7 linked regions of the Callithrix jacchus genome follow. The protein of the gene in region 3 purifies or fractionates together with the protein of the main gene of each other region. This does not show direct contact. Links are inferred from orthologs where the notes say so. Each region holds a gene or a part of one and is shown on either strand. Other genes may lie near its edges. The genes, in order: HNRNPA2B1, DDX5, IGF2BP3, FUS, TRIM25, G3BP2 and ILF2.

Evidence for each region.
Region 1: the proteins of IGF2BP3 (region 3) and HNRNPA2B1 purify together in Homo sapiens (affinity purification with mass spectrometry; 4 studies listed by BioGRID and IntAct, with this or other methods). This does not show direct contact. The link is inferred for Callithrix jacchus from reciprocal best matches to the Homo sapiens genes IGF2BP3 and HNRNPA2B1.
Region 2: the proteins of IGF2BP3 (region 3) and DDX5 fractionate together in Homo sapiens (co-fractionation; 3 studies listed by BioGRID, with this or other methods). This does not show direct contact. The link is inferred for Callithrix jacchus from reciprocal best matches to the Homo sapiens genes IGF2BP3 and DDX5.
Region 4: the proteins of IGF2BP3 (region 3) and FUS purify together in Homo sapiens (affinity purification with mass spectrometry; 3 studies listed by BioGRID and IntAct, with this or other methods). This does not show direct contact. The link is inferred for Callithrix jacchus from reciprocal best matches to the Homo sapiens genes IGF2BP3 and FUS.
Region 5: the proteins of IGF2BP3 (region 3) and TRIM25 purify together in Homo sapiens (affinity purification with western blotting; 3 studies listed by BioGRID, with this or other methods). This does not show direct contact. The link is inferred for Callithrix jacchus from reciprocal best matches to the Homo sapiens genes IGF2BP3 and TRIM25.
Region 6: the proteins of IGF2BP3 (region 3) and G3BP2 purify together in Homo sapiens (affinity purification with mass spectrometry; 3 studies listed by BioGRID and IntAct, with this or other methods). This does not show direct contact. The link is inferred for Callithrix jacchus from reciprocal best matches to the Homo sapiens genes IGF2BP3 and G3BP2.
Region 7: the proteins of IGF2BP3 (region 3) and ILF2 purify together in Homo sapiens (affinity purification with mass spectrometry; 3 studies listed by BioGRID and IntAct, counting the BioPlex papers as one, with this or other methods). This does not show direct contact. The link is inferred for Callithrix jacchus from reciprocal best matches to the Homo sapiens genes IGF2BP3 and ILF2.

What each region holds. Positions count from the first base shown.
Region 1 is NC_133512.1:31,900,949-31,905,225, forward strand, and holds the start of HNRNPA2B1 (heterogeneous nuclear ribonucleoproteins A2/B1), read left to right. Parts: upstream 1-1,423; 5' UTR 1,424-1,595; coding exon 1,596-1,601; intron 1,602-4,205; coding exon 4,206-4,241; intron 4,242-4,277. UniProt on the Homo sapiens protein: Heterogeneous nuclear ribonucleoprotein (hnRNP) that associates with nascent pre-mRNAs, packaging them into hnRNP particles.
Region 2 is NC_133506.1:89,766,604-89,770,971, reverse strand, and holds the start of DDX5 (putative ATP-dependent RNA helicase DDX5), read left to right. Parts: upstream 1-1,543; 5' UTR 1,544-1,654; intron 1,655-1,747; exon of another isoform or gene 1,748-1,908; intron 1,909-2,105; exon of another isoform or gene 2,106-2,140; 5' UTR 2,141-2,275; coding exon 2,276-2,319; intron 2,320-3,531; coding exon 3,532-3,697; intron 3,698-4,037; coding exon 4,038-4,134; intron 4,135-4,234; coding exon 4,235-4,368. Other genes in the region: CEP95 (centrosomal protein of 95 kDa), read right to left, coding at 1,313-1,331. UniProt on the Homo sapiens protein: Involved in the alternative regulation of pre-mRNA splicing; its RNA helicase activity is necessary for increasing tau exon 10 inclusion and occurs in a RBM4-dependent manner. Binds to the tau pre-mRNA in the stem-loop region downstream of exon 10.
Region 3 is NC_133512.1:34,781,312-34,785,084, reverse strand, and holds part of IGF2BP3 (insulin-like growth factor 2 mRNA-binding protein 3), read right to left. Parts: intron 2,162-3,773; coding exon 2,026-2,161; intron 561-2,025; coding exon 435-560; intron 212-434; exon of another isoform or gene 1-211. UniProt on the Homo sapiens protein: RNA-binding factor that may recruit target transcripts to cytoplasmic protein-RNA complexes (mRNPs). This transcript 'caging' into mRNPs allows mRNA transport and transient storage.
Region 4 is NC_133513.1:30,697,815-30,701,587, forward strand, and holds part of FUS (RNA-binding protein FUS), read left to right. Parts: intron 1-1,244; coding exon 1,245-1,389; intron 1,390-1,588; coding exon 1,589-1,788; intron 1,789-1,978; exon of another isoform or gene 1,979-2,097; intron 2,098-2,127; coding exon 2,128-2,356; intron 2,357-3,773. UniProt on the Homo sapiens protein: DNA/RNA-binding protein that plays a role in various cellular processes such as transcription regulation, RNA splicing, RNA transport, DNA repair and damage response. Binds to ssRNA containing the consensus sequence 5'-AGGUAA-3'.
Region 5 is NC_133506.1:109,423,350-109,427,122, reverse strand, and holds part of TRIM25 (E3 ubiquitin/ISG15 ligase TRIM25), read right to left. Parts: intron 620-3,773; coding exon 386-619; intron 1-385.
Region 6 is NC_133504.1:122,417,558-122,421,879, reverse strand, and holds the start of G3BP2 (ras GTPase-activating protein-binding protein 2), read right to left. Parts: upstream 2,806-4,322; 5' UTR 2,667-2,805; intron 2,568-2,666; exon of another isoform or gene 2,448-2,567; intron 357-2,447; exon of another isoform or gene 354-356; 5' UTR 295-353; intron 1-294. Other genes in the region: USO1 (general vesicular transport factor p115), read left to right, coding at 3,209-3,274.
Region 7 is NC_133519.1:14,091,414-14,095,972, forward strand, and holds the start of ILF2 (interleukin enhancer-binding factor 2), read right to left. Parts: upstream 3,001-4,559; 5' UTR 2,951-3,000; coding exon 2,946-2,950; exon of another isoform or gene 2,816-2,945; intron 2,248-2,815; coding exon 2,188-2,247; intron 1,902-2,187; coding exon 1,859-1,901; intron 393-1,858; coding exon 288-392; intron 1-287. UniProt on the Homo sapiens protein: Chromatin-interacting protein that forms a stable heterodimer with interleukin enhancer-binding factor 3/ILF3 and plays a role in several biological processes including transcription, innate immunity or cell growth.

The sequences.
Region 1 (4,277 bases), about 2.9 Mb from region 3:
GTCTCGGCCCAGCCCCGCGTGGCGGCCAGGGGAGGGGGGGCCCCTCCGCCAGAATGCTGGTGGGGGAGGGGAGGAGAAATGCGCTTTGTCTCGAAAGAGTGACGGTTGCCACAACTCTCTGCTCCCTCGAGGGCAGAACAGTCCCCCAATTAACTGCAGGCGCTAACCCGCGCCACGCCAGCCGCGAGGCCACCGCCCGACCTTCCGCTCCTTCCCGCAGCTCCAGGTGCGGGGTCTGGCGGGGAACGAAGGGAAGGGGAGCAAGGAACCGGGCCCCCGGAGCGTGTGTGGTATCTAAAACACCGCCACTGAACGAGGGCTAGACAAAAGGAAAACCACCGACTTCACCGCCTCCGAGGTGCTCCGGGTCGCGGGTCTGCGGCGTCTTCGGCCCTGCGCGCCAGCAGCTCCAGCCACATCCAAGTGGGGAGGGAGCCGGGAGCTGCGCAAGGGGCTGCGGTGGGGAGGGGCGGCACCGCCTACGCCGGGCGGCCACGAAAGGCGGGGCAGCGGGCGCGCGCCCGGCGGGAGGGGAGGGGCCGTGCGCCGCGCCCCCTGGGAACTGGGGCCCAAGGTGGGGAGGGCGGCTGCGACGACCGCGGCACTTACGGTTTGCAGCGTGGCTCCCGGTGGTCCCCCGAGGGGAGGGAGAGGGAAGGAGGGGCGAGGACAGCGACCTGAGTCTCTCGGCGGTGGCTTTTCTGCCCCGCAGCCTCTACGGCTGGCGCCAAAACCGGACTCCGCCTACTTCCTCGCCCCTGGGCGGGTGGGGGGTGGAATCCTCCAGACGCTGGGGGAGGGGGAGTTGGGAGCCTAAAAACAACTCGCTTTGGGACCCCTTTTGGCAGGGACTCCTGTACGCCAGAGGTCAGCCCCATAGGCGCGGGCCAGGGTTAGGTCAGTGCGGCGTGAATAGTAATTTGACTATAAGTTGATTCGGGTGTTTCCGGAAGGGGCCGAATGGGGGCACGGAAAACGAAAAGGGAAAGCTACGAAGATTTTTATGGCGGGAGAAGGAAGGAAGGTATCAAAGGCGTAGCTGCAGAGACCACCTCCCGTGTTGAGGGGGCTGGACCTCCGGGCTGCGGTTTAAGCTCCTCCCGTCGGCGTTAATTTCAAACTGCGCGACCGTTTCTCACCTGCCCTGCGCCAAGGCGGGGGCGGGGGGGGCGGGACCCTATTCTGAGAGGTAATAGGAGGCAGGCCTCGAGCCTTCCTCAATTCACTGAGCGCATTTACGGAAGTAACGTCTGGCACTGTCGCTAGCCGCGAGGTGGGGAGGGCTACGCATTTGGCGTAAGGCGGGGCGCAGAGCCTTCCCGCCATTGGCGGCGGTTAGGGCGTTTACGCAACGGCCTGACGTAGAGGAAGACGCGTTAGTCGGGGGGGAAGGTTCTAGAAAAGCGGCGGCAGCGGCTCTAGCGGCAGTAGCAGCAGCGCCGGGTCCCGAGCGGAGGTTCCCCTAGCGGTGTTGTTTCTCGAGCAGCGGCAGTTCTCACTACAGCGCCAGGACGAGTCCGGTTCGTGTTCGTCCGCGGAGATCTCTCTCATCTCGCTCGGCTGCGGGAAATCGGGCTGAAGCGACTGAGTCCGCGATGGAGGTAACGGGTTTGAAATCAATGAGTTATTGGAAAGGGCATGGCGAGGCCGTTGGCGCCTCAGTGGAAGTCGGCCAGCCGCCTCGGTGGGAGAGCGGCAGGAAATTGGACCGCTTCAGTAGCAGTGGGTTCTAGGTTTTTGAACAGGGTCTTGACAGAGGCCTGAGCGTACAAACAGCTTCCCCACCCTCAGCCTCCGGCGCCATTTCCCTTCACTGGGGGTGGGGGATGGGAAACTTTCACATGGCGGACGCAGCCCCGCTGGAGTGAAAGTGGGGCGCGGAGGCGGGAATTCTTATTCCCTTTTTAAAGCACGCTGCTTCGGGGGCTCCGGCGTTTCGGCGGCGAGCGTTTCGGCGGGCAGCGGGTCCTCGTGAGCGAGGCTGCGGAGCTTCCCCTTCCCCTCTCTCCCGGGAACCGGATTTGGCGGCCGCCATTTTCATGGCTCGCCTTCCTCTTAGCGTTTTTCTTTTAACTCAATTAATTCTCCTAGTGTGATTTCTCTATCAAGGCTTAGAGGTGGTTAACTGTTTCTCTTTCTTCTCGGGTTGTTTTCATACCGTTTCGAGGTGGATTTGGAGTGTTTTGTGAGCTTGGATCTTTAGAGTCCTGCGCACCTCATTAAAGGCGCTCAGCCTTCCCCTCGATGAAATGGCGCCATTGCGTTCGGAAGCCACACGGAAGAGCGGAGCGGGTGGGGGGGTGGGGCCGGGTTCGCAGGCCCGGTTTCGGAGAAGGTACACCACTCAGAGCATCGGGCCGGGTTCAACGCCAGCCATAGGACAAAGAAGCCATTATATATTTTTTCTGTTCTTTTTCTTTTTTTTTTTTTTTTAACTCCAGTGATGGTTTTATCTCGGTCCTCGGTTACTAATAAGGCAGATGAATCCCAGCGAAGTAGACACAAATTGGAAGCCCTCGGCCACGAATGGCAGGGAGAATGGTGGTTTTCGGGGCGGGGGAGGGATATTCACGTCCGAATCCTTTACTGCCCTTAAGGATTTCACTTAAGTTGTAGAGCTCAATCATTTTAAAAATATTTTTACTGAGAATTTTGATCTTTACGGGGTCAATCCACGGATCTTTAAAGATTACGAGGAAAGTGAAAACTATTTTGTCCTTAGTCGTAATTAGGTTAAAACATGGCTTCAGAGGCTCCTTCCTGTAATGCGTGTGTATTGATGTGCAAAATTGTATTGGGCCTGGGCCGCTCTGTATTTGAACTTTACTTGCTTTTCTCATTTATGTTTGCAATCTTGGTTGATCATTACATTGATAAGCATAAGGTCTCAAGCGAAGGGGGTCTACCTGGTTATTTTCTTTGACCCTAAGCACGTTTATAAAATAACATTGTTAATAACCGATAGTGGACGTCGGGTAAGTTTGGAAAAATTGTGAGGTAAGTAATGAGTTTTTGCTTTTTGTTAGTGATTTGTAAGACTTGTTAATAGATGTGCATTATTCTTAATGTGAGTTTGAGAGACACATGTACTGACGACAAAAGCTAGCTGAAAAAAATCAAAATATATCTTGGCAAGTAATCATTTCGAAAGACGGCTATGTGTCTTTAGGAGCTAGTTTGATACTTTGTTAGTTTTTTTAATTTTTACGAGTCCTGAAGACACCACAAGAAAAAGATCTGAACTGGCTTTTATCACCATTTTTTTTTTTTTTTTTAGCATTTGGGAGCATGTGGATGGCGGGAGAGCTCTGTAGAACTGGGATGAGAGCAGCAATAAATGGCGCTTGCTTTGAACAAAAAATTCTTGACTCAAAATGATATGTGACTCTAAATTTGCATTATGCATTCATAGCAATTGTCTTGGATATATATGACTGATTCTCGTATGAGGTTTTAACCTAGTTACCTTTTAAGACAGGTTTACTGAACGTTCTTTTTTAACTGTCCAAAATACAATGCTGTGTAGTACAGCATATTTGTTGGTTCCCAGGTATTAAAATATTTCATCTCTGAGGTTTTTCCTTTTGACTTGGAACAGCGTTTTGTGCCGTGTCTTCCTACATGGCCAATTAAGTTCAGTAAGCTTCACCTTTCAGTATCTTTAAAACACTGCTTAGAGTTTATGCCAGGTGAATGTATTGAGTAATTTTTAAGGTTATTTCTAATGCATATCTTGACTGATTGTTTTGTAACTGAGAGTCGTGGAGAAACCTAATGTTAGTGTTTTTTTTTTTTTTTGGCTGAGATACTTAGAATCACCACCAGAGGGGGCAGTTAAGGGAAAATAAATGCTATTTTTCAGATACTGAATCGTGAATTTTGTTCTTAAGGAAGGATCCAAGAGTTATTTTCTAATGTTTAAAAATATAAATCTGCGTTTTTAGGTTATAGGGTTGGAATTTTTGGGTAAAAAAATTTTTACTAATCTTTGGATAACCACGGTCTACATTTGTTCATTTCTCCTTAGAAAGCTTTTTTAATTAATAATTTGTTTAAGATAATTTGATGTTGAGTAAATTTAGATCAAGCATTAATGACTTTGAAACTTGTGTAGATCAGCTGAGGCAATTTTTTGGTGTAACACAACTAATATGCAGTTTAACATATGGTTTAAATTTGATGTAAGTTTTTTTTTTCCCCCCCAGAAAACTTTAGAAACTGTTCCTTTGGAGAGGAAAAAGGTACTCTGCCAGCAGGTCACCTCATATTTAAGAATT
Region 2 (4,368 bases), on a different chromosome or scaffold from region 3:
GTTATAGAATTTCAAAGACTCTTTTAAGGCATGATTTTTGAAAAGATGTATTTAATTTCTTGGAATGATTTCCAGAGTGCTGTAACTTCTATACAGCCAAAACTATATAATGTAAATTCAACTGCCACTGTTGCAGTCTAAATCTTTAGTTATATTACATGGGTGTTTTTAGTCAAAACATATTTACAAGTAAACGAGAATACTGTCATAAACAACAGTTTAACGATAATCCGAGGTTACTAAAAACTCATTAATGGATGTTGCTTCAAATTCCCAATAGTATCGGTCGTGTGTTTCCCCAATTATCCTGTGAAGTCAGGATTTCTCCAGTGCCCGAAACGTGGTGATTAAACTTAGGCTATTAAGAACTGGTATAATGACAACATCAACGCTAATGCATTTATTAAGTTTTTCTTTTTTATTATACTGATCTAAATGAAAGGAAATATGGGAAGTATATGAAAACATCCCTAAGCTCAGAATTATCAATACTGTTGACCTTTCCTGTGCTCCGGACTCCCCTCTCCCAGATATTGCTGGGACTTGCAAAGTTTAACGGTTTCTCTAGCAAAAGTAACTTCGCATAAAATACTTGTTCCCTGAAATGCCTGGCATTGGTAGGAAAGCACTTTCCTTCGGTACTAGACACAAACGTCTCCACTATATTCCGGACACATAACGTTCTGGAAACAAATGAGTGTATCTTCCATGCACATAATTCCCCTCCCCACGCCCATTTCTCACAGTTGGCCAAACCGTGAGAACTGGTTTGTATGCAGTCCTGGCGAAAAGGATGAAAGCGTCCTAGACAACCAAACCAATTCGCTTTTCAAAAGCGTTGCTAGACAAAGCCCATGACTTCAGAGAACACTGAAGAGAAAAAAGCACCAGTATTCTGCGACATGGGCATCAACAAATCTTAAGGTGCTGTTCCTTTAAAGACCAATACAAAAGTAGATTAGACCTCAGGACCCACAGTACAAGGGCGGAGGGCACACTGACAGCGGCCAGACAACTCCACAGAAGGACAAGTCCGGGAACGACCCTTCTGGTTGCTCTTTTTGCACCCAAGACCCGAGTGTGCTACCAGGCTCGCCCCAGTGCCTCTCTCCTACCGCCTATCACTGTTCCACAGCCTCACAGAGAAGGAGAAAAGCTGAGAGACCCTATCCAGAGAACCCGCCACCGCGACGCGGCGTCTGACAGTCACGAGTCCCGCCGACAGCCTAGACCCAGTCCGGGCCAGCCCAAGGCCTCCCTGAAGCTGGACGGCCTCAGTTCACACCAACCGTGACCCCAGGCCGACACTCACCAGCCTCCGAGCCGGCCATGTTTTGGAGGCAGTTTGCCGCCGGACCCCTACAGGCCAGGCAGGCTACGGTGTCCTGGAAGGACCGATCCACACAGATTCGACGCTTGGATGAGGGCGAACGAACCCAAGCGCTGGGAAGGAGGCGTGAAAGAGGGAGGGACATCAAAGGGGCTGCTCGCCGCTGATTGGTCACAGAGCAGCACTTCCTTTCACAGCACGTGCCAGGGCGGCGGTTTGCTGAGTTTAGAGACCATTCTCCGCTGGCCAGAACCCGGTAGATGATTGTCAGATCCGTGGGTCGGCAGCCCAGGCGGGTCCTGGGGCTTTGGGAGCGCACTTCCGGTACTATTTCGTTATGTATCCCTCCGCCGACGTCAACGGAGAAGTAGTGCGGCCCGCTGACCGGTGGCGGGGGTGGTAGTCACGTGACACGCCAGTCCCCGCCTGCCATTTGGTTACGGGCGTGAGGGCCCTTTGGAGACGTAAACATCTCCGAGTGAGGAGGGTTGGCTGGCCTGGGCAGGCTGTTTTATCGTCTGGCTGGGCCTGGGAAAGGGCGGGGTGGCTTGCTTGAGGTGTGGAAAGACGAGAAGAAGGTAAGGTCAAGAGAGTGCAGAATGAGACATTCCAATAGTGGGTGGGCCCTGAGCTGAGAGGCTCTCCTGGAGCGCCGGCTGCCGTTGCGGCTTCTGCGCGACGGGCGGGGCGATTAGGTCATAGAGCGGATCCCAGCGTTCCTTGCGGCGTAGGAGGCGGTCCAGACTATAAAAGCGGCTGCCGGAAAGCGGCCGGCACCTCATTCATTTTCACCGGTCTGTGGTCTTGTAGCTCCGGATTGTGTCATCGCCGTCCGTCCTCCGCTGCCGCCCCCGCAAGGCTTCGCTGTTGTCGAGGCCATTTCCAGCGACTCGTCGCACCCTTTTGTCTGTACTTCGTTCCCCGCCAACCGCAACCATTGACGCCATGTCGGGTTATTCGAGTGACCGAGACCGCGGCCGGGATCGAGGGTGAGTGTGGAAGCCGAGCTGTCAGGCCTAGCAGGTGGGGGATGGGACGGCAGGTGAGGGTGGCGGCCGGCGGGGGCTTTGGGGCTCGGACTCGGCCTTTCCGGATTCTCCTGGGGCCTCGTCTCTTGAACACTTGCGCCATTTTGATAATCACGTAACAGTGATTGGGAGTGGTTTATCGGTGTAGTGCCCTCAAGCTCGCTTTTTGTTGGGATTAGGAAGTCGTCGGGGCCGCTGCCATTTGGTAGCTGTTGGAGGAATTCAGAGGGAGCATATTGTGCGTTGGAAAGCACGACGTTTCGAGTAAGACGAAGTAGCAGCTCTTAGATTCTGCCTTTCAGGAGGTGTTTTTCGGGTGGCCGGGCATTCTGTGGGAGCTCTAGGACCACTTCTAAAGCCACTGATGCTGGGGGGGGTTAGGAGGGCGGTCGGCATTGCCGGCATCAGCCATGTGGCTGAGTCGCGGGTACAAAATGCCGGCCTCGGACATGGCGGCGGCGCCTTTGTTACCCCGCCCGGCGGAGGAGCTCAAAATGGCAGCGTCGAGAAAATGTGGCGCAGAGAGAAATGCGAGACAAAGGGGGAAGCGCCGCCCCAGCGGGAACGCCGCCCGGCCGGCTCCGCCCGGGCCGGGACTCCTCCCCCGGTAGTCGCCGGCTCCTCCTTTTCTTTTTTCCTGCGTTATATAATTTTTATTCGTTGATCGGGAGCTCTACCGCGGCGTCCCCCCAGCTCGGTTTGCTAGCAGAAGTATTTGCGAGAAAACCCTTGTTTTGGTCTCGCTGTCTGTGCTGTCTCGATTCTTTAACACCAAAGCTCTTTGGCTTGAAAACGGCCATATGAGTAACATCGTTGGGATGCTCTTTGGTTCGTGTATCCTTGTTATCCCTGATACTTAATTCCTAGACTGGTGGGGAAGATTATAGTAACCGCAAGAAGTGGTGTGTATCCGAAATTATGGCATCTGGGCCGCAAGTTCCCGACATGATAAATCCAGGGCTGTTTACATGGCCTAAGTGTGTACTTGGGACTACTAGAAATGTTAACTGTGGCTAAGAGAAAGACTATCGTTAAGGACAGTGCTTTGTTTACTAAACCTCTTAAGGTCGTTTTTCAGTGATCTGTAGCTTTGTGTCAAGGGATGGTAAACAAATCTGTATAGAAACCTGTGTTTAGATATTTGAAAACGTGAATAACGTTTTTTCTTTGCAGGTTTGGTGCACCTCGATTTGGAGGAAGCAGGGGAGGGCCTTTATCTGGAAAGAAGTTTGGAAACCCTGGGGAGAAACTAGTTAAAAAGAAGTGGAATCTTGATGAGCTGCCCAAATTTGAGAAGAATTTTTATCAAGAGCACCCTGATTTGTCTAGGCGCACAGCAGTGAGTAAATTAATGTGGCTTCATCAGGCTGTAACTCAGTAATGGATTCTAGTAAATGAAAATCTGACAGGTGTTTTGCAAATGATTCAATTTTGGTAGTTACGTTTTCTGACTTCATAATTGGGAAAGTTGTGACTCAATAGGTGGCTTTGGGATTTTTTTTTTAACTTAATTAGGTTGAGAACGGAATAAACTGTTCTTTTGCCATATAGTGTTTTCATATATGGGTCAGATAAAAACGAAAGCTACTTTACTCAATTACGAATTTAGGGGCTTACCAGTTACATTTAGCTAGGGGTGGTTGCCATGAACTTTAAGACTGTTAAAATTTGTTTTGCAGCAAGAGGTGGAAACATACAGAAGAAGCAAGGAGATTACAGTTAGAGGTCACAACTGCCCGAAGCCAGTTCTAAATTTTTATGAAGCCAATTTCCCTGGTAATTCTAGTTTTCAGTTCTATCTACCACTGGGATTTTGTTCCCACCCACTCCCTTTTACTTGGCATTACTAATTTTTACTAAATATCTGTCACTATAGCAAATGTCATGGATGTTATTGCAAGACAGAACTTTACTGAGCCTACTGCTATTCAAGCTCAGGGATGGCCAGTTGCTCTAAGTGGATTGGATATGGTTGGAGTAGCACAGACTGGATCTGGGAAAACATTGTCT
Region 3 (3,773 bases):
GTGAAGGATGCAGTGAGCCGAGATGACCCCATTGCATTCCAGCCTGGGTGAGAGAGAGACTCTGTCACAAAAAAATTTTTAAATAACCACTATGGCACACGTATACCTATGTAACAAACTTGCACGTTCTGCACATGTATCCCAGAACTTTGAATTAAAAAGAGAAAAAAATTTTTAAATAAAAAAAATCACTAAGTTTCTTTTCCTGCCACCTCAGGGTCCCAAACTTTTCTTGTGATATTTGAAAACACATATTGACAACCCTACTATCCAAAAACTTCAAAATAATCCCATGTCTACTCCACACTCCATAAGTCGGCTTCATTAGCAAGAACTGGAGAGTATATGTTGGCTCTAAATAGATGATCACCAGGGAGTAGGTTTACATTAAGAGTTTGCCCAATCACAAAGAAAGCCAAGGCCAGTTATCTTACCTCAAACTGTGGGTAGGGAGGAGTCATGGCTGAAGGGGGACCTGAGGTGGGAGGTGGCATCCCTGAAGTGGGTGGGAACAGACCCAAGGCATTCAGATTTAATCCAGGAATTAAATGTGCTTGAAGCTGCAATAGTAAAAAGGACCCTTAATTTGACAATTAAATGGATCAAGGGAAAGTGAGCATTTTTAAGTGACAATATTCAAACTACTGATCTAATAAAAAAACCATCTTATAAGTCAGAGCAGATGTTCCATGGGACTTTACTTGAGTATATCGTTTACAACTGCATTAAGAGATCTCAAGGGCAGCCTTCCTTTTCCTTATGACTAGCTCACAGGGCTTAGACAAAACTGTACTCTACATATTGTGGGCAAACTAAATACAGACTGAAAGTGATGTATCCGAGTTTAAGAGGTAATCAAGTGAGATTGGCTAACTGAAAAGCAAACCAGCTATTAGGAGATCTTTACTCGCTGGGTAAAATTTAGCAACCATGGGTCTAGAAAACTCAAAGTCGAGCCCTCTGGAAATTGGGACCCATCCCCATGTAACTACTGCAAGTAAACATATCACTGGAATGGATATAGGAGCCAGAAAGGGGATTTTAATTTGTTTAATTTTATAAGGGTTGAGGATGTAATGTAGATCGTGGAAGGGAGATTAGAGTGTATGTGACAATCTTTTTAAAAGGCCTATGGGGGTTAGATTTAATCCCATTGATTCTAAGACATTTGGAGCCAAGTAGTGATAATATGAAGAAGGTTGGCAGGGAGTCATGTGGGGTGTAAAATAGTTTGCATTCTAGACTTCCTGACAAAGGCAATGTTTTCACGTTTTCTTTCTCTCAGGTTTTGTGTTTCAGATGTCTCGCCCAATTGAAAAAAAATTTTTTTTTAATCATTTACTTTAAAATTTAAGATGGACTTTTGAAGTTTTCCACTTTCAGCACCATTTCACTCACTAAGCAATGTCAGCAATTTGCTTTAATAGCCTCAGATGCACTATGCAGACTGTTTAATCAATTGAAATTCTTGTATCTCCAAGGTTTATATGGGTAACCAAGCAAGTTTTAAACCTGTAATCTTAACATTAACTTTGATATGCATTAGGGCTATTGTAATCCTAATAAGCATGCAAGGTAGGCAGTAATCCCATTTTACAGATGAGTAAACTGAAACTCAGAGAGACTAAGTAAATCATCTAAGAGAATAGAATTGCAGCTAGTAAATAGTTTGCCTGTGATTCAAATCCAGTTCATGTAATATTCCTTCTATATTAAACTCTCAAATTAGCATCGTAAAAGAGGTACTTACTATATTAACCTTTGTAGGTAGACACCAGCCTTACTTCAGAGAGAAGGAGGCTAATGCTTGAAGACTAAATAATTTGCTAAAGTCACAGAGACAGCAAAGCTTAATGTCAAAGCCAGTATCTTCACCACTATCCCAGGGTACTTGCTGCGGTGCTAAAAATCAGCTAGAACTTCTTCTAATGATAATGCCACAAAATAATTCACTATGAATGCAGTTAGAAACATCATTTTAACTATTTTTTAAAATAAAGACATGCCCTTCATAACAAAACTAACATTCATAGAAGCAATATCATTTTCGTAAGACTCCCTGATTTTCTTCATGATCTCTTCCTCAGCTTTAGCACATGTCTCAACATTGCCTTTAACTGTAATGGTGCGTTCTGGATTATACAGCGTCAATTCCTGCAATCTGCAGAATGAGAAAGAAGGGAAAGAAAAAGAATGAAAATTGTAGAAAGAAGGCAGTTAATAATTATTCTGCCACCCATGGCAATTAAAAACAAACTGTGGAGCTTGGTAATATGTAAAAGTGGGTGGTAAAACATGATGGGAAATGAGTAAGCCCCAAAAGACATAAATCCAAAATTGTAAAGCTGCAAGAGAGAAGAAAATACTTGGCCTCCCATCTTCTCAAGTAAAGATTACTGGGTACATATAGTTCAATCAAGTCCTTCTTTTAAATATAGCTTACTTCTCAACCTCTTAAAGTTGAACCATTTTCACAATTTAACAGTGAATGGAAAAATGACTGGAAAGATGTATAGTTTTTTGGAAACCATATACTCTAAGTACATAACCTTTCCTAAGTATGTTCCTAGTCTGGACTAACCAATTCTAGGCATAATTGGCATTCTCATGCAATTGTATTTTCTGGCTCACCAAGCAAGGAGAAAGAATGGAAATATTCAAAACCACAAGCCAAACTTCACGTGTCTAAACTAGTTTTTACCATCTTTTTTTTTTTTTTTTTTTTTTTTTTTTTAGAATTTAGATTGAAGTAGGCTGGAGGAATATCAGTCCATCTTGAGTAAAATTTAAAATGGTTCACTGATGGCCATTTAGACAACAAAAACGTTAGACAGTGGCAGCAATATTCAGACACTCCCTGCAGGACCTAGGTCCTGCTGAACCTTCAAAAGCCACTAAAAATCATACCTGAAAACACCTAAGCCTATGCAGGAAAGTGATGAGAGATATTTGCCATGGAAAACAGAACTAAGTATATAAATTGAGAGGATATGGGTTATTGGTACAAATCCCCTTCATCTTCCTGAAGTTCTCATTTTCAGTACTAGTAAAATGTCATAGCCTAACCTTCCCCCAGATGAATGGGAAGTTATTCCTTAACATTTTCCTAAAACTTGCTAAAAATATGAACATTTATATAATGAAGACTATTTCTCTTAGACTACTTCAAAAAGAAGTATATAATTCTAATTCAGTTTCAACCTGCCCTGCCAAGCATTTTGTATTACAGTTTTTAAATAGCTGTTTCTAGAATCACTGTTAAGATTTTTTTCTTTTAAAACTCTCCCCTTTCTGGGGGTAAATTTAAGACAAAGTAGTATTACTGTATTTACCACTTCGTGGGTTTTTTCCTTTCTCTACAACCAAACCGAAGTTTCCTGCTTCTGTACTACCTCCTTTGAAAACTTGCTACACAACACTGTGCATCAGTCATTCCCCTACCATTCTTCTTCAGTTCATCAATCTTTTCCCACCATTTGAGTACTCTGACTGAAACTAAGAATAGTCACCCTCAGAAAAAGAAAAACCTTTCTAATGTAATTTGAGACCATCCAGATTCTAGGTGTGGTAGCCTGCCTCCAAGGTGACTCCCTGCCACCCAGTTATCTGCAGTCCACCACATACGTACCAAACAGGGCTGACTTGTGTAAACAATATTAGAAAAATGATAGAGTATAACTTCTGAGGCTATGTTATAAAAGACAATGCAATCTTGACAGCTGCCATGTCTTGAGGACACTGAAGCAGCTCTGTGGAGAGGCCCATGTGGGAGG
Region 4 (3,773 bases), on a different chromosome or scaffold from region 3:
TTTTGCCATGCTGGCCAGGCTGGTCTCTAACACTTGACGTCATGATCCACCTGCCTCAGCCTCCCAAAGTGATGGGATTACAGGTGTGAGCCACCGCATCCGGCTCTGAATACTGCTTTTGTTAAACCTGAGCAGCATGGAAATGTTGAAACTGTTCCATATTTCCTTTCCCTGAACCACTGTATAATTCTCAAAACTCTTGGGAGTCTGAGTTCTTTACAGGGCATTGTGGCAAACCTACAGTACTGAGGAAGGAGGATCCCTTGAGCCCCAGGAGTTTGGGGCTGCAGTGAGCTATGATTGTGCTTGAGAGTAGCCACTGCATTCTAGCCTGGGCAGTGTATTGAGGCCCTGTCTCAAAAACAAAAAAAGACAAAAATGTTTATTGGTTTGTAATTGTTTCCATTTATTTTATTTGGCTTTAAATTTTTTTGGTCCTCCTGTTTTTCATCTCAGCATGAAAGAGAGCATATTTTCTAAAGGAAGAAGAATGTTAGGCTGATTCTTTTTTTTTTTGAGATGGAGTTTCGCCGTTGTTACCCAGACTGGAGTGCAATGGCACGATCTTTGCTCACCGCAACCTCCGCCTTCTGGGTTAAAGCAATTCTCCTGCTTCAGCCTCCCGAGTAGCTGGGACTACAGGCATGCACCACCATGCCCAGCTAATTTTTGTGTTTTTAGTAGAGACGGGGTTTCACCTTGTTGACCAGGATGGTCTTGATCTCTTGACCTCGTGATCCACCCGCCTCGGCCTCCCAAAGTGCTGGGATTATAGGCGTGAGCCACCGTTCCTGGCAGGCTGATTCTTAAATTGAGAAAATGGTTTTGCTTGAAAATGTATAAAATCATATGATACCTAAGAAGGTGGGATTTGTCCCAAGGTCCTGAAGCATAACCAACGAATGTGGTTGTCCTGCAGAAACTGCACACATAGCTGCACATTGCAGTGCGGTTGCAAGGGATCCTTGGGCCTGGGATTAGAGGGTGTTTCTGGAGATGGTGTTGGGATTGGTGGGGTGAAATTGGAACTGTTCTAAAGAGTTGGTAGAAGTTGGAGCATTAACTTTAGGTTTTAGAAGGAGGGTGGTAACTTTTTGCCTGTGAGTTGCTAGATAACTAACGGCTTCTGAGAGGCTGACTTTTTGAGTATGGGTGAGTGTTAGGTTGTATATGTTTTCTTTAACCCATTCCATACATTTTCTCTTTGCTGTGGCTTTTGTGACTCCCTTTTTTTATCCTCATAGCAGGCTATGGCACTCAGTCAGCTCCCCAGGGATATGGCTCAACTGGTGGCTATGGCAGTAGCCAGAGCTCCCAATCATCTTACGGGCAGCAGTCCTCCTACCCTGGCTATGGTCAGCAGCCAGCTCCCAGCAGCACCTCGGGAAGGTACAGTGGTGTTGATGTCAGGGGAAGGCTTGAAGAGGGGTGAATTGATGAGGAATGATAAAGGGACCCAGGAGTAGGAGCAGCTTTGAGGTATAATTGGGGTGGGGGAACCTATGTTGGGTATAGAGAATGGAATACACTAAAAACAAAATTTGGGTATGCTGGGATTATGATTTTGTTTTTCATTTGTTTTCTTTAGTTACGGGAGCAGTTCTCAGAGCAGCAGCTATGGGCAGCCCCCGAGTGGCGGCTACGGCCAGCAATCTGGCTATGGTGGACAGCAGCAAGGCTACGGACAGCAGCAAAGCTCCTATAATCCGCCTCAGGGCTATGGACAGCAGAACCAGTACAACAGCAGCAGCAGCAGCAGCAGCGGTGGGGGTGGAGGTGGGGGTGGAGGTGAGATGTCCTCAGCTTTGCCAGCAGTTCCATTTTCTATAAGGATTTGTATTCTCCTGTTTGACTCTTAGCTTAAAGGGATTGCTTTCTTGTTCCCTATATGTCTTTTTAATTTATTTTGTCCTTTATTGCTTGGCACTTGTTGAACCTTTTTGTGTTACTTTACTTTTTTGTTTGTTTTTTTCCTTAAAACCTATAGCACCTGGTATTTCCAGGAGGTCTCCTATCCAAATGCTAACTAGGCCCGACCCTGCTTAGCTTCTGAGATCAGACGAGATTGGGTGCATTCAGGGTGGTATGGCCGTAGACTTTTTAAAACCATTCTTTCTTTTCTCACAGGTAGCTATGGCCAAGATCAGTCCTCCATGAGTAGTGGCAGCGGCGGCGGCAGTGGTGGTTATGGCAATCAAGACCAGAGTGGTGGAGGCAGTGGTGGCTATGGACAGCAAGACCGTGGAGGCCGTGGCAGGGGCGGTGGTGGTGGTGGTGGTGGTGGTTACAACCGCAACAGTGGTGGCTATGAACCCAGAGGTCGTGGAGGTGGCCGTGGAGGCAGAGGCGGCATGGGGTAGGTGTCTTATGAGCCAGGGAGTATCTTTGGTGGGGAGTGTGGAGGATTGCATGAATTTCCCTGAAGCCAGTCCCTAGTGCATGGTTTAGTATTCTTGTTGTCTAGGGATCTGTGAGGGCTTTGATTTGGGGTCAGTGACTGTTTTTACATCCCCATTTTATTTTTGTGAGAACTTGGGAGCTGAAACTCCCATCCATACCACTAAATAGAGATTTTGAGTATTGATACTTGTTTCCAAAGAGAAAGAAATCATACATAGATATGTATGGATTGGAGTCATTGATATCCTAGGCAAGAAACACGGAAGTGAAGACTTCTTTCTCTGCAAGGGAAACCGATGATCCCACTCCTGGGAAATAGTAGGGAAACTTGGTATGTGTATGCCCATGTGTCCTCTAGGGAGTTGGTAATGATTAACCTGACTTCAGCTTCTAGGAATTGGCTACTCTTCCTGTTTTCTGTAGTCATTTGAATCCACGAGCTTGATTTGCGCTAATTTGACAGTGATTTTGTGTGTGACTTGGTTTGTGGGGCCATCCGACTGAAGTGTACAGACCTTTTGGGCAAAAATATGCTTGACGGTGGTCTCCCAACTATTTGTTCCACTGTCTGCCTTCCCCTGGTTACTTAAAAATCATCAATTTGTCCAACTGGACATTCTTTCCTTCCTGCTGAAGTTGATTTGAGTAAAACCTTAGATTTGATGTTAAAACAGCCGTCAAATCTGTTGGTAAATATGATTTGAAGGACCTTACCCTGTCTCCCTTGAAAAAGGGGAGGAGTGTCAGTGTTACTGTTTTTGGAAAAAGTAGATTTTTAAAACAAGTTGGGATATGGTAAGTATGCAGAGGTGGGTGGGGGCAATCTCAAAAACGTACAAAAATAAGGAAAACTCTGTTGTGTGCGTGTGTTTAATGCAAAACTTTAAAAAGAAAAACAACTGTTATGTGACTGTTAACTTGCTCTGCATTTTATGTGCCACAGGTATGAAAGGTGACATTGCAAAATACTCCGCTCTTCTCGCAGTGTAGAAGGGGTGACCCCGGGGGTTGGGGGAGATCAAAAACAGCTCAGTAGTTAGGACAGGGCTTAGCTAAGTTTGTCTTGCTTTAAGGGGAAATTGCTTTTGGTTTTGACTTTTTATGGAATGGGGTTGGGTCTGCTTGCTGCTTTCAAAGCAAAAACCACAAAAATGTGTTCAGGGCTACCCCAGCCTGGTGTGAAATGTCTTCTGGGTAAATTGGGGTAGGGTTTTTAAACCAACTACTTGGTTGTCAACCACTTGCGACAAGAGGAAAAAAAACATCTGCTCCATCGGAAGAACGACCGAGGAAAATGGGTCATTTTTTTTCCAGAGGAAATAGATATATAACCTTTTAAAGCAAAATCTTTATAAACTGTGTCTGAGAAATTG
Region 5 (3,773 bases), on a different chromosome or scaffold from region 3:
AGAAAGAGGGGGCCTCAGTCCTACAACCATAAGGAACTAAATCCTGCCAGCAACCACATGAGCCTGGAAGACAACCCTGAGCTCCAAAAGAAACAGCCTGGCCATCCCTTGCAGACTATAGCCTGGTGAGACCCTATACAGGCCACCCATAAAGCCATGTCCAGATTTCTGAGCCAGAGAAACTCTGAGAGAATAAATATATGTTTTTTGAAGCCCCTATATTTGTGGTAATTTGTTGCCCAGCTCAGAAAACTAATACAGCATGTGTCTCAGGGATGCTTCCAGTGACCTCTTCCAGTCCCCAGCTCCTTGCGGGCCCTATCATCAATAGCAGGACATCAGGAAAAAAAAAAAAACCATTCAACAATGCCTCCTGGCAACCCACCTCCAGAAACTCGAACTCATCCCCCTTGGTCAGGCCCCGTTCAATCTCCTCCTTCAGCGTCTGGATCTCACTCTTCTTCTTGAGGAGAATCTGATAAATGCTGTCCAACTTGGTGTTGACCTTCTTCTCCTCCTCCTTTATCTTCCATGTCAAGGTGGTCTCTGAGGTGTCCAGGAGAGCCTTCATTTCCATGTATTCTTGTCGTAGCTGCTCCACCTTTTTGTTTGCAGTCAACTGAGAGGGCCAAGGTAAGAGGGTGCTTGTCAAATGGGCAAAAACGCTGAGGCTGCAGCCCCAAGCATTGGTAAGATGTGGAGTTCTGGGAACTCTTACCTGCACTTTCTGGGAGAGCAAACCACTTTGGAGAGCAACTTGGTAAAATCTAGTACCTTTGGAGGTGCTCATATGCTATGACTCAGCAACTCCAGTTTTAGTAATACATGCTACAAAAACTCACAGCCACCTGCCCCAGAGACATGCACCAGAATGTGCACAGGCAGCACTGTCTGAAGTAGCAAAAACCTGGAATCAACCTGAACGTCCACTGGTAGAAGGCTTGATGCAAAGACTGGGAACTATTCATAGGATGGAATACTAAACACTTATGAAAATTAATAAACTGGAGCTATGCATGGATGAATCCCCATGAGAGAAAAACAACTTGCAGAAGAAGACCAACCACATGATGCTCTTTCAATACAGCTTAGAAACAAGCAGAATGGTTAACATGCACAAAGAAATGCATAGGAATGAATGAATAAATTCAGGAGAATGGTTATTTCTGGAAGAGAGGAAGGGGACAGAATAAGGGAGAAACAGGGCCAGGCACAGTGGCTCATGCCTGTAATCCCAGCATTTTGGAAAACTGAGGCTGGCAGATCACAAGGTCAAGAGATTGAGACCATCCTGGCCAACATGGTGAAACCCCATCTCTGCTAAAAATACAAAAATTAGTTGGGTGTGGTGGTGCACACTCATTGTCCCAGCTACCCAGGAGGCTGAGGCAGAATTGCTTGAACCCAGGAGGCAAAGGTTGCAGTGAGCCGAGATCACGCCATTGTGCTGCAGCCTGGGCGACAGCGCGAGACTTCGTCTCAAAAACAAAAAAAAAAATAAGGGAGAAACAGATGGGAGGGGCTGCAGCAATGATATTTTATTCCTTAAGCTAAAGGCAGTTCATGGGCAATTTTTAAAAATAAAAGTCAGGGCCGGGCGCGGTGGCTCAAGCCTGTAATCCCAGCACTTTGGGAGGCCGAGGCAGGTGGATCACAAGGTCAAGAGATCAAGACCATCCTGGTCAACATGGTGAAACCCCGTCTCCACTAAAAATACAAAAAAATTAGCTGGGCACGGTGGCGCGTGCCTATAATCCCAGCTACTCAGGAGGCTGAGGCAGGAGAATTGCCTGAACCCAGAAGGCGGAGGTTGCAGTGAGCCGAGATTGCGCCATTGCACTCCAGTCTGAGTAACAAGAGCGAAACTCCGTCTCAAAAAATAAAAATAAAAATAAATAAAAGTCAGGATGCAGCTCTGGAAAATTTCTGAGAATATCATGCTCTAGAACTATACTTCCCAATAATATAACCACTTGCTACATGTGGCTACTAACCACTTGAAATGTGGCTAGTCCAAATTGAGACTCAACATGAGTATAAAATACATACTGGCTTTCAAAAACTTTACACCAATAAAAGGCATGTAAAATATCTTACTGCTTTAAAATTGATATGTTGAAAGAATAATATTTCAGATATACCAAACTGAATAAACTGTAATATTAAAATTAATCTCAGCCAGGTGCAGTGGTTGATGCTCATAATTCCAGCATCTTAGGAGACCGAGGCAGGAAGATCACTTGAGGCCAGGAGTTCAAGACCAGCCTGGGCAACATAGTGAGATCCCTTCTCTACACAAATAAAAATAAAAAACTATTATTCCTATAATATTATTATAAAATATATAATAATAAAAATTATTATTCCTATAAAAAAATTAGTATTCCTAGCTAGTGGGAGGTGTAGGGTGGAAAGGGGGCGTAGGCTGAGTCAGGAGGATTACTTAAGCCCAAGAGTTCGAAGCTGCAGTGAGCTATGATTGTTCCACTGCACTCCAGCCTGGATAAATAAATGAAATAAACCTAATGTACTATCGAATTAATTTAAAGTTACATCTGCACTCCCACTATATTTCTGCTGGACAGCACTCCTTCAGCAGCTGCAATTTTGTTTCCCATCTTGGATGGCCTCAATAGCTGCTATGGTTTGAATGTCTCCTCCAAAGCTCATGTTGAGATTTAATTGCCATTGAGGTGATTAGGTCGTGAGGGTTCTGCCCTCATGAATGGATTCATGTTCTTCTCACAGGGGTTTGACCTTCTCTTTCCTGTCTCACTCTCCTGCCTTCCATCCTTCCGCCATGGATGATCCTCACCAGATGCCGGAAGCATGCTCTTCGACCTCTCAGCCTCTAGAACTGTGAGCCAAATAAACTTTTCTTTGCAAATACCCAGTCTGTGGAATTCTGTTATAGCTGCAGAAAATGGACTAAGACGATAGCTCAGAATCAAACATAACAAAGAAAAAAACACACGAGAAGGACAGCAGACTGGAAGAGAGGAATTCAAGTATTTCTTCACCAATCTTTTATTTATTTATTTTTTTGAGACAGAGTTTTGCTCTCATCACTCAGGCTGGAGTGCAATGGCACGATCTCGGCTCACTGCAATTTCTGCCTCCTGGGTTCAAGAGATTCTCCTGCCTCGGCCTCCCAAGTAGCTGGAACAACAGGTGTGCACCACCACACCTGGCTAATTTTTTGTATTTTTAGTAAAGATGAGGTTTCACTATGTTGGCCAGGCTGGTCTTGAACTCCTGACCTCAGGTGATTCATCCGCTTTGGCCTCCCAAAGTGCTGGGATTATAGGCGTGAGCCACCGTGCCCAGCCTTCTTTGCCAATCTTTTACTGTGCAGCATCTAATGTGACTACAAGTGTCCACAGTGCTCATTTTCCCCTTTTTCCTTTTGGTAAGAGAACATTCCTGGAGTTTCTTCTGGGCATGTGGCTACCCAGACTACGTTTCCCAGTGTCCCCTGCAGCTAGGCTAGGCAATGTGACTAGCTCCTTCCACTGACACATGACCAGGAGTGATATGTGCAACAGTGTGTCACTTGTGTAAAGGGAAATTGCTTGTTGTCCTTCACTTCCTCTTTGTCCCTTTTCTCACAGGCTAGAACAAAGGTGTAATGGTAACCCAGCTTCAACCAAAGAGGTTGGGACAATACTTTGTGGAATAGTAGGGCAATAAGAAGGGAGGACCCTTAATCCCCAAATGATCACATGAACCCCTAGTCTGGGTTACTCATGTTTGGGTTTGGACTGTCAGTTGGC
Region 6 (4,322 bases), on a different chromosome or scaffold from region 3:
TTTTAATGATTCACGGCACTCTTATCCTGAATGCTTAGATTTATGAAAGCCAGAAATGTAACCATGCAAGTCAGGGGGTCACAATTTGTTCATGATTTCTCTTCCTTTATTAAGTCAGGTAGTTCCTGAACATCTACCATGTTAAAAAAAATTATACTAGATGATTAAAGGGTGCAAACAGGAATATAACACAGTCCCCGACTTTTCTCTACAAATCATAGAAGTGGATTAATATGTAACTCTCTTCTTCTGAAATAAGGAGTCCATTTCATGGTTGTTCTGTAGGGACAATACCTTGGGGATCTCACCTTCAGCGCATCGGCACCCAACTGTCTATCCCTCCTGTTCAGGGGCTGCTGTTGGGGAAGAAAACAAGTCAAATGCAGGGAAAACTCATAGTAAGCTGTTACTACTATACTCATTAAAGTATAGTAACCAACTTTCCTCACTGAAGTGTAGTAACCTACTGTACCCACCAAAGTTTAAAACAAAACAGGGCCAGGCACAGTGGCTGACATTTGTAATCCCAGCACTTTAGGAGGCCAAGGTGGGCGGATCACCTGAGGTCGGCAGATCGAGAACAGCTTGACCAACATGGAGAAACACCGTCTCTACTAAAAATACAAAAAAAATTAGCCGGGCATGGTGGTGCATGCCTATAAACCCAGCTACTCAGGAGACTGAGGCAGGAGAATTGCTTGAACCCAGGAGGCGGAGGTTGCAGTGAGCCGAGATCACACCATTGCACTCCAACTTGGGCAACAAGGGCAAAACTCCGTCTCAAAACAAAACAAAACAAGGCATTTGATAGGGCTGGTGCCTTTAAACAACTTTGCTAAAATGTCAAGGCACTCTTTTTAATTACTAAATAAGGGGAGTAACAGACAGCTGTGGCCCACTCCATCTGTGAGCCTCATTCCTGATGATGGGGTAGAGTGAGGTTTAGGGATGGGTGAGGCTTAGGGGCTTGAGTGAAGTTCTTTAGAGCATTTCTTGGTAATAAAAATGCTGAGTATTTACTGGTTACCTTTTTTAGGCTGCAACAAAATGCTCCCATGGAAAATGACTACAGTAAAATGTCAAGTGTATATAGTTTTCAAGCAGAGGACAATGCTTAGTGCACAGTATTTTTGGCAGTATGACCCCACCATTCTCCAAGTTGCACAGGCTTAAAATGTTGGCACTAGGAAACACATTGCCTATGATGTGTTCCCTACAATTCCACTTTACAGATTAAAAAAAGGGAACCTCCTCCTTAGCATAATTTTCATATATTCTTTCAATGATTTATTCATTTATCCATCAATATCACCTTTTATGAGACAGTGGTAAGCAACAGAGATATAAAATGAATAAACATAGTCCTGCCCTTAACAGTTTGGTTTAACAAGCGTTTATTGAATGTCCACCATATATAGTATTAATAACTGCAAAGTGCTAGCATATAGATATATACTTAGATTTTAGGGAAAGCTTTCAAGAATGATGCCAAAGTTGAGTCTTAAGGAATTAGCAGGAGTTTGCTTGATGAAGAGAAGGGAGGGGAAGGGCGTATCCACGTCTGAGAAAAATGTCCAGAGTATGTGGGGGAGGCAGAAGCTGAAAAAGTAGTCAGAAGCCAATCACAATAGGCCTGTATGACAAACTAAGGAGTTTGGACTTTATTTTAGAGAGAAAGGGGAAACAACTGAAGGATTTTTAAAAGACTGACATAAACAGATGTTTTGTTGTTGTTAGTCTCTCCCAAGGGAGGACTGGAGATTGGACTTTCTGAAGGAAGCCAGGGCTGAATGCAGACAAACTAGTTAGGAGGCTGTTGCTGTAATCTCAACGAGAAATGATGAGAACATAATCTATATCATAGGCATAGAGAATGGAGAGCAGAGGACCTATCTGAGAAATAGTCATTTATATAAAAATGATAGGACGTGACTATTGATTGGACATGCGTGGGTGGAAAGCCAGAGTCTAAGATTCTTCCCAGCCTCCTCTGTCTAGCTTAGGCACTTATTTGGACAGTGGTACTACTGAGCACGGCATGCACACAGTAGAAGCAGCGTATTGACTTTTTTTCTTTAAGGGAGGCAGGGGAAGATGAGTTCAATTTTAAAGGCTGAATCTGAGACCTGAGGGGAATCCAAGAGGAGAGGTGCATGAGTCAGTAAACTAACTAGACCCTGTGCTTTTTAGCCTCAAGAAATTTACAAGATTATTCCAGAAGCATGTGTACTGACAACCTCACTGCCGGAGAAACAGGCATATCAATTTGAGAAAATGACATTTTTTTCAGGTTAAAAAAAAACACTGAAAACGCAGGGGTTAATAGTTAATAACAAAACATTATGTTACTCGCCAAACTGACACAGCAGAACAATGTATTTCTCTAGTAAGCTAAATGTAGAGTTTGGTGGGTTTCCTTCTGACGACACTTGAAAATTGAGGTGTACCTGGTGTTTAGATCTAGGAATTCCTTTGAGCAGGTTTGAAGAGCAAGAGCTGAGAAATGCGCCCTCCAGTGGCAGTGGAATGAGGGGCGTCTAGTACCCTTTTTACCACCAAACAAAGCCCTGTAAAGAAATGCAATTTACCGGGATAAGAAAGCCACAACGCTGGTACTACTAAACCGTCAAACCAAACGAACCCTCCCAGGGGCCGGAACCCCTTACCTGTCACGTCGGCCGAAGGAAAATTTCACTTTCGACTCAAAAAGAATAAGACCTCAGATTTGATAGCTTGCAGTAAGTCCCGCTCGGGAGCAATTAAACACCCTGCGTGCAAGTTGAAACGCGTAACCAAATCCTCTCCACCCTGCAGGGCCGGGCTTCGACCACGTGGGTGGCTGCGGCCAGCGGGAACAATCCGCGAAGGGCGGGGGTAGAAGCGAGTCCTGAGGAGGGAGGCAGGGCCTACGCAGTGGGCGGGGCTCCGGCGGAACGTAGCTACGAGGTTTCTCTCGCCTCCGCTCCCCTTTTGCCTTCAACCTTCGAGCCGCCACGTAATGCCACGTCCCCGCGCATGCGCATCTTGGCCGCTGCTGGCGGCTGTTTCCGGGCTTAAGGGGCTAGATCGGCCGCCGAGTTGGAGGCGGTGGTGGATGCGGTAGGAGAGTGTGGAGTGCGGAATTGGGGGTCAGGCCCTGCGGAAGGCGGGGAAGTTGTCTTCGTTTCTTTCCCGGAGGGGCCGATAAACCAGGTGGCTGAAAGGCAAGATGAATTTCCTCCGTGGGGTAATGGGGGGTCAGAGTGCCGGACCCCAGCACACAGAAGCGGAGACGGTGAGAGGAGCGGCGGGTCTGGGACTTGGGAAGGGGTCCGGGCAGGGACAGGGAGGGAGCACTCGGAGACCCGAAGGTCACCTCCCGCGTTCCACCATGGAAGGGAGATCCACAAGCCGCCTCCACCTTTGCCCTCCTTCCGCTCTTGAAATCCCAGAGTTACTTCCTCAAGCCCCCATCGTAGTCCCCATCACTGCGGCTTGGCCGGACTGACGGCAGCCGCGCCCCACAAGCTGCGTAGGCCCCGAAGCTTGGGCTAGGAGAGTGGTCCGCGGGTGGTACCTCCCGGGAAGGGACGGATCGGGACAGTGCTGGCGCGAACTGCCTCCCACGCCCCTCGGGGCTGTGGGCCCGTCCCTCCTTCCCTTTCGCCTGTGTCTGCACTGGCCGAGACGAGCCTGAAGTCCTGCTCCCTCCCTCGCAGTCTGAAACTGGGGCGTTGGAGAAGATTGCATGGTTTAAAACCCAGCTGTTGGTGAGAGCATGTGGCTAAGAATAAAACGATATTCTTTGGGGCACAAATCCACCTGCTCCTGTCCCATCAGAACGCCTGGTGTCATTTGTTCCGATCCCGTTTTTTCGAGCTGACCCAAATATATATCATTTGGCAAATGCTACCTTGGACGTAGTAGGGATATTTCCCGCTCAAACTGCTTTAGGGACACATTCACCGCTTTCTGCCTGAACTCGTAAGGACATTATTTGCAGCGTTATTTTTTTTTTAATGGTTAGCCGCTGAAAACAGTATTGAATAGTTGCTTAGATTCTAGGTTTAGAATATACTTATTTTGAACTTTGGTTATTGTTTAATGGAATCGAAGGTGTACGACTTTTTGAAGTAAACTTTTTATTTGAGAATCATTTTAGATATACATAAAAGTGACCAAGTATAACATTTTAATGGCTAACTTTGGGTAGTATTTATGTACATAACTTTGTTCATGGGATCCTGAGGAATAATATAGTAGCTTTCATTTACCTTGTACTCGGTACTGTGTTGAGCTCTTTATATTCCACACTCTACTTTAATCGTTAACTGCCCTGCAGG
Region 7 (4,559 bases), on a different chromosome or scaffold from region 3:
CCAGGAGGCGGAGGTTGCGGTGAGCCGATATCACGCCATTGCACTCCAGCCTGGGTAACAAGAGTGAAACTCCGTCTCAAAAAAAAAAAATAAAAAAATAAGTGTATATAATCTGTGTACATATCCACCTGGCTATCTCTACCCACAATGAGAAATAAAGAGAAAATTAAACCTTCTGTGGCTTTCAGGCTACCTTAACACCATTCTTACCCTTACCAACAGTTACTCTTTACCAATACTTTTAACTGTTTTAGAGACATTTCTGGAACACAGCCAAAAGAACATACCTGTTCAGCAGAATTGGGAGCCAGGTCCTGATTCCTCTTGAGCAAGGCCTCGCTGAAGGAAGTTTCATCAGGTGCTGGCTTGACCCGGGGGAAGGCCATTTCACACTAAATCAGAAATAAACAACTACATTCTATTTACCAAAAATAATACACAGGAAAGATTGTTTTCTCTGTTACTACAACAGAATAAGTTAAGAATAGAAAATTCTATACTTGTTTTCACTCCTTAATTTGTTCAATTAGCTGGGCATGGTGGCTCACACTTGTAATCCCAGCCACTTGGGAGGCTAAGGTGGGAGAATCACTTGAACACAGGAAGCAGAGGTTGCAGTTAGCCAAGATCGCACCACTGCCCTCCAGCCTAGGCGACAGAGTGAAACCCTACCTCAAAAAAGAAACAAAAAATTGTTCAAAGGCTGGGCTGGGTGGCTCACGCCTGTAAATCCCAGTACTTTAGGAGGCTGAGGTGGGCAGATCACTTGAGGTCATGAGTTCAAGACCAGCCTGGACACCATAGTCTCTATTAAATAGAAATACAAAAATTGGGGCTGGGCGCAGTGGCTCACGCCTATAATCCCAGCACTTTGGGAGGCCAAGGCGGGTGAATCACCAGGTCAAGAGATTGAGACCATCCTGGTCAACAAGGTGAAACCCCGTCTCTACTAAAAATACAAAAATTAGCTGGGCATGATGGTGCACGCCTGTAGTCCCAGCTACTCGGGAGGCTGAGGCAGGAGAATTGCTTGAACCCAGGAGACGGAGGTTGCGGTGAGCCGAGATGGTGCCATTGCACTCCAGCCCAGGTAACAACAGCGAAACTCCATCTCAAAAAAAAAAAAAAAGAAATACAAAAATTAGCTGGGCATGGTGGCAGGCCTCCCAAGTAATCCCAGCTACTTGGGAGGCCGAGGCAGGAGGATCTCTTGAACCCAGGAAGCAGAGGTTGCAGTGAGCCAAGATTGCACCAGCCTGGGTGATGGAGTGAGATGATGTCTTTAAAAAAAAAAAAAGTTCAACCAAGGATACAAGCTGGAATAGCCATAATTTAAGCTATCACTATAACAGATAAGCCATAGATATAATTACTTGTTCAGAAAAAAGATAATCATATTTAATGCCAATAGTAGCCAAGGAATTAATCTCCCCACCCTGCTTACACTGTTTCTGTATGTAAAGCAACACACTGTTGAGCTGTTGACTCAAAACCCCAAGTCTTTTCATAAATCCCTTTCCCTCCCTACTTCACTTTTTTTTTTTTTCCCAGTCCTGCCATCTCAGCTCGTTGCAACCTCCACCTCCCAGGTTCAAGCAATTCGCCTGCCTCAGCCTCCTAAGTAGCTGGATTACAGGCACATGTTCAGCTAACTTTTGTAATTTTAGTAGAGAAGGAGTTTCGCCAGGCTGATCTCAAACTCCTGATCCACCTGCCTCGGCCTCCCAAAGTGCTGGGATTACAGATGTGAGGCACTGCACCCAGCCTCTTCAACCACCATTTAGCTTCATCAACTGGGAGATCCGGAGCTCCATTTCTAGTGGCCAGTAAATGTGTATGATTAACCCAAGGTACTCACCAAATAGAAGTCAAATGGGATATGTGGTACAAAGGGCCTGAACCTAAAACATGAAAAACAGCTAAATTATTCCCTATGTAGGAATCAAGTGAGATGTATAACACCAGCAATTTTGAAAACGTGTCAGTCCTCAGAATGAGTGACAAAGTCTCTGGGGAGGGGGAATCATTCTTAGCATAGTGGGGCCAAATTCATTTAGCAGGGGTGCAGGTAAAGACCACAGTTGGCTCTCACAAAACCAAGTGACTTTAGTCTTCCCCAAAACTCCTATTTAGATGACAAGCAGAAACTAACAACCAAGTCCAGAGATGCTAAAAACCGGCACTCACCCTCCTCCTGGGCCTCCTCTGGAACCAAAGCGCCCACCACGACCACGGCCTCTGTCACCCCTAGAAACGCAGATTTTATTTTGACCTCATTGAAGGAATACTCACCGGCCATATCATTTTAAGGTGGCTACTACTTTCATCCCTCGGAACCTCCGAACGGCAGGCAAGAGACCCCATGCCCACTTGCACTTTTCCCCATTCCAAATGGTGCCCAGTTATACATCCCCATAACCTCCTCATTCTGGATGAGTTAATCACAACCCTGCATCAAGTGATCACGGGGCTCAGACACTCAGCCCCTACACGAAATAACCCATAATCCTGGGCCACACGAATCCTAATACTTCGGAGGCCAGAAGTTGCACATTTCTTCATTAACGTACGCATTTATGGGGCATGTCCTCTGTGTCAAGCCCTTTGCACTGAGGATGAAAGCGGCTCGCTGCAGCCTTCTCACCCCAGATGGGGGGTCGGGGGAAGCTCCTCCGGGGACTTGAGGACACCCCCTCATCGCAACCCTTCAGAGACAAAGGTGCCGAACCCGCCTCCCCACTCCTGGGCCCCAACCCCATCCCGGGCCCAAGTTTCCCCGCCTCTGCCGGCCTCCCACTCCCCTACTCTCCCAGACCGGGAGTTCTCCGGTTTTTGGCCAGCTCCCGGACACACGGCGCTTTTAGGTCCTCCGACTTCTTTCGGCCCACGTTCCCAAAGTTTTCCGTCGAATACCTGCAACCTTTCGATCACTTCGACCCCCTTACCTCATGGCGGCTTAAAACACGAACAATGGAGGCCGCACCAACCGCCCCTTTGCTCCGAGGAGCGGAAAACTGAAGAGGCGTCTTGCCGGCGTGTCCCAATAAAACCCAGCGCGATTGGCTCCCGCCTAACCCAATCGTTTATGCCTATTGGCTTACTCTGTCAACCCGGGCTTATGAACCAATAAAAAAAGCCTACTGTGTCAGGAACTAGCCAATAAGAACTGGTTCTATAGTAATGGCGGATTTTTGGTCAGACATTAGGTGGCACTAAAGAAATAGGGACAACAGCTACATAGAGAGTCTTCTATAACAGTCCTGAAAAAGAGTGGCTTGTAGATAGCAGAGTGGCGCAGCGGAAGCGTGCTGGGCCCATAACCCAGAGGTCGATGGATCGAAACCATCCTCTGCTATCGGATTTTTTTCTTTTTTCATTTTCGTGTCCTATACGGCACACATAATTTAGGTTTCTTCGGTGAATGAAAACATCAAAATATCTTCTTAAATTTTCCTACCTCAAAAATACAACCGATGTCAGCCGGTTTTCCCACTCGGAGTTGAAGTTGTTGGGGAAAAGGGAGTTTGGGCAACAATGAACATTACATGTCTACAAACTCGAGACAGAAGAAACAGGTTTCAGATAGGAGAGGAGAGTATTGATTGAATTAGTGCAGAAAACATGATTAGTGAGAGAATACGGGGGAAATTGAGACAGCCCTTGGGGAGAGGGCGCAGAAAAAGGAATGGGGGGCCTAGACGCTGGGCGCGATGGCTCACGCCTGTAATCCCAGCACTTTGGGAGGCCGAGGCGGGTTGATCACCCGAGGTCAGGAGTTCGAGACCAGCCTGGCCAACATGATAAAACCCCATCTCTACTAAAAATACAACAACAACAACAAAAAATAGCTAGGCATGATGAGTGCCTGTAATCCCAGCTACTAGGGAGGTTGAGGCAGGAGAATCGCTTGAACCCAGGAGGGGAGGTTGCAGTCAGCCGAGATCGTGCCATTGCACTCCAGTCTGGGCAACAAGAGCGAAACTCCGTCTCAAAAAAAAAAAGTAAAGAAAAGGGGGGCAAAGTAAGGGGCAAAGAGAGGAGAATCCAACTCGTCCCCGTTGCAGTTTCCCTCCAGTTCTCTTCCCTCACCCCACAAATCTGGATGATGGACCGGGCACGTTGGTTCACCCATGTAATCCCAGCACTTTGGGAGCCCAAGGCGGGCGGATCACGAGGTTAGGTGATCAAGGTCATCCTGGCTAACATGGTGAAACCCTGTCTCTACTAAAAATACAAAAAAATTAGTCTTTGTCGTGGCGCGCGCCTGTAATCCTAGCTACTTAGGAGGCTGAGGCAGGAAAATCGCTTGAACCCGGGAGGCGGAGGTTACAATGTGCCAAGATCGTGCCACAGCACTCCAGCGTGGGTTACAGAGCGAGACCCCATATCTACTAAAAAATACAAAAAATTGGCTGGGCATAGTGGCTCACCCCTGTAAGCCAAGCACTTTGGAGGCCAAGGCGGGCGGATCACATGAGGTCGGGAGTTCAAGACCAGCCTGACCAACATGGTGAAACCCCATCTTTTTTTAAAATTATTTTTCTTTAAAATTAAAAATA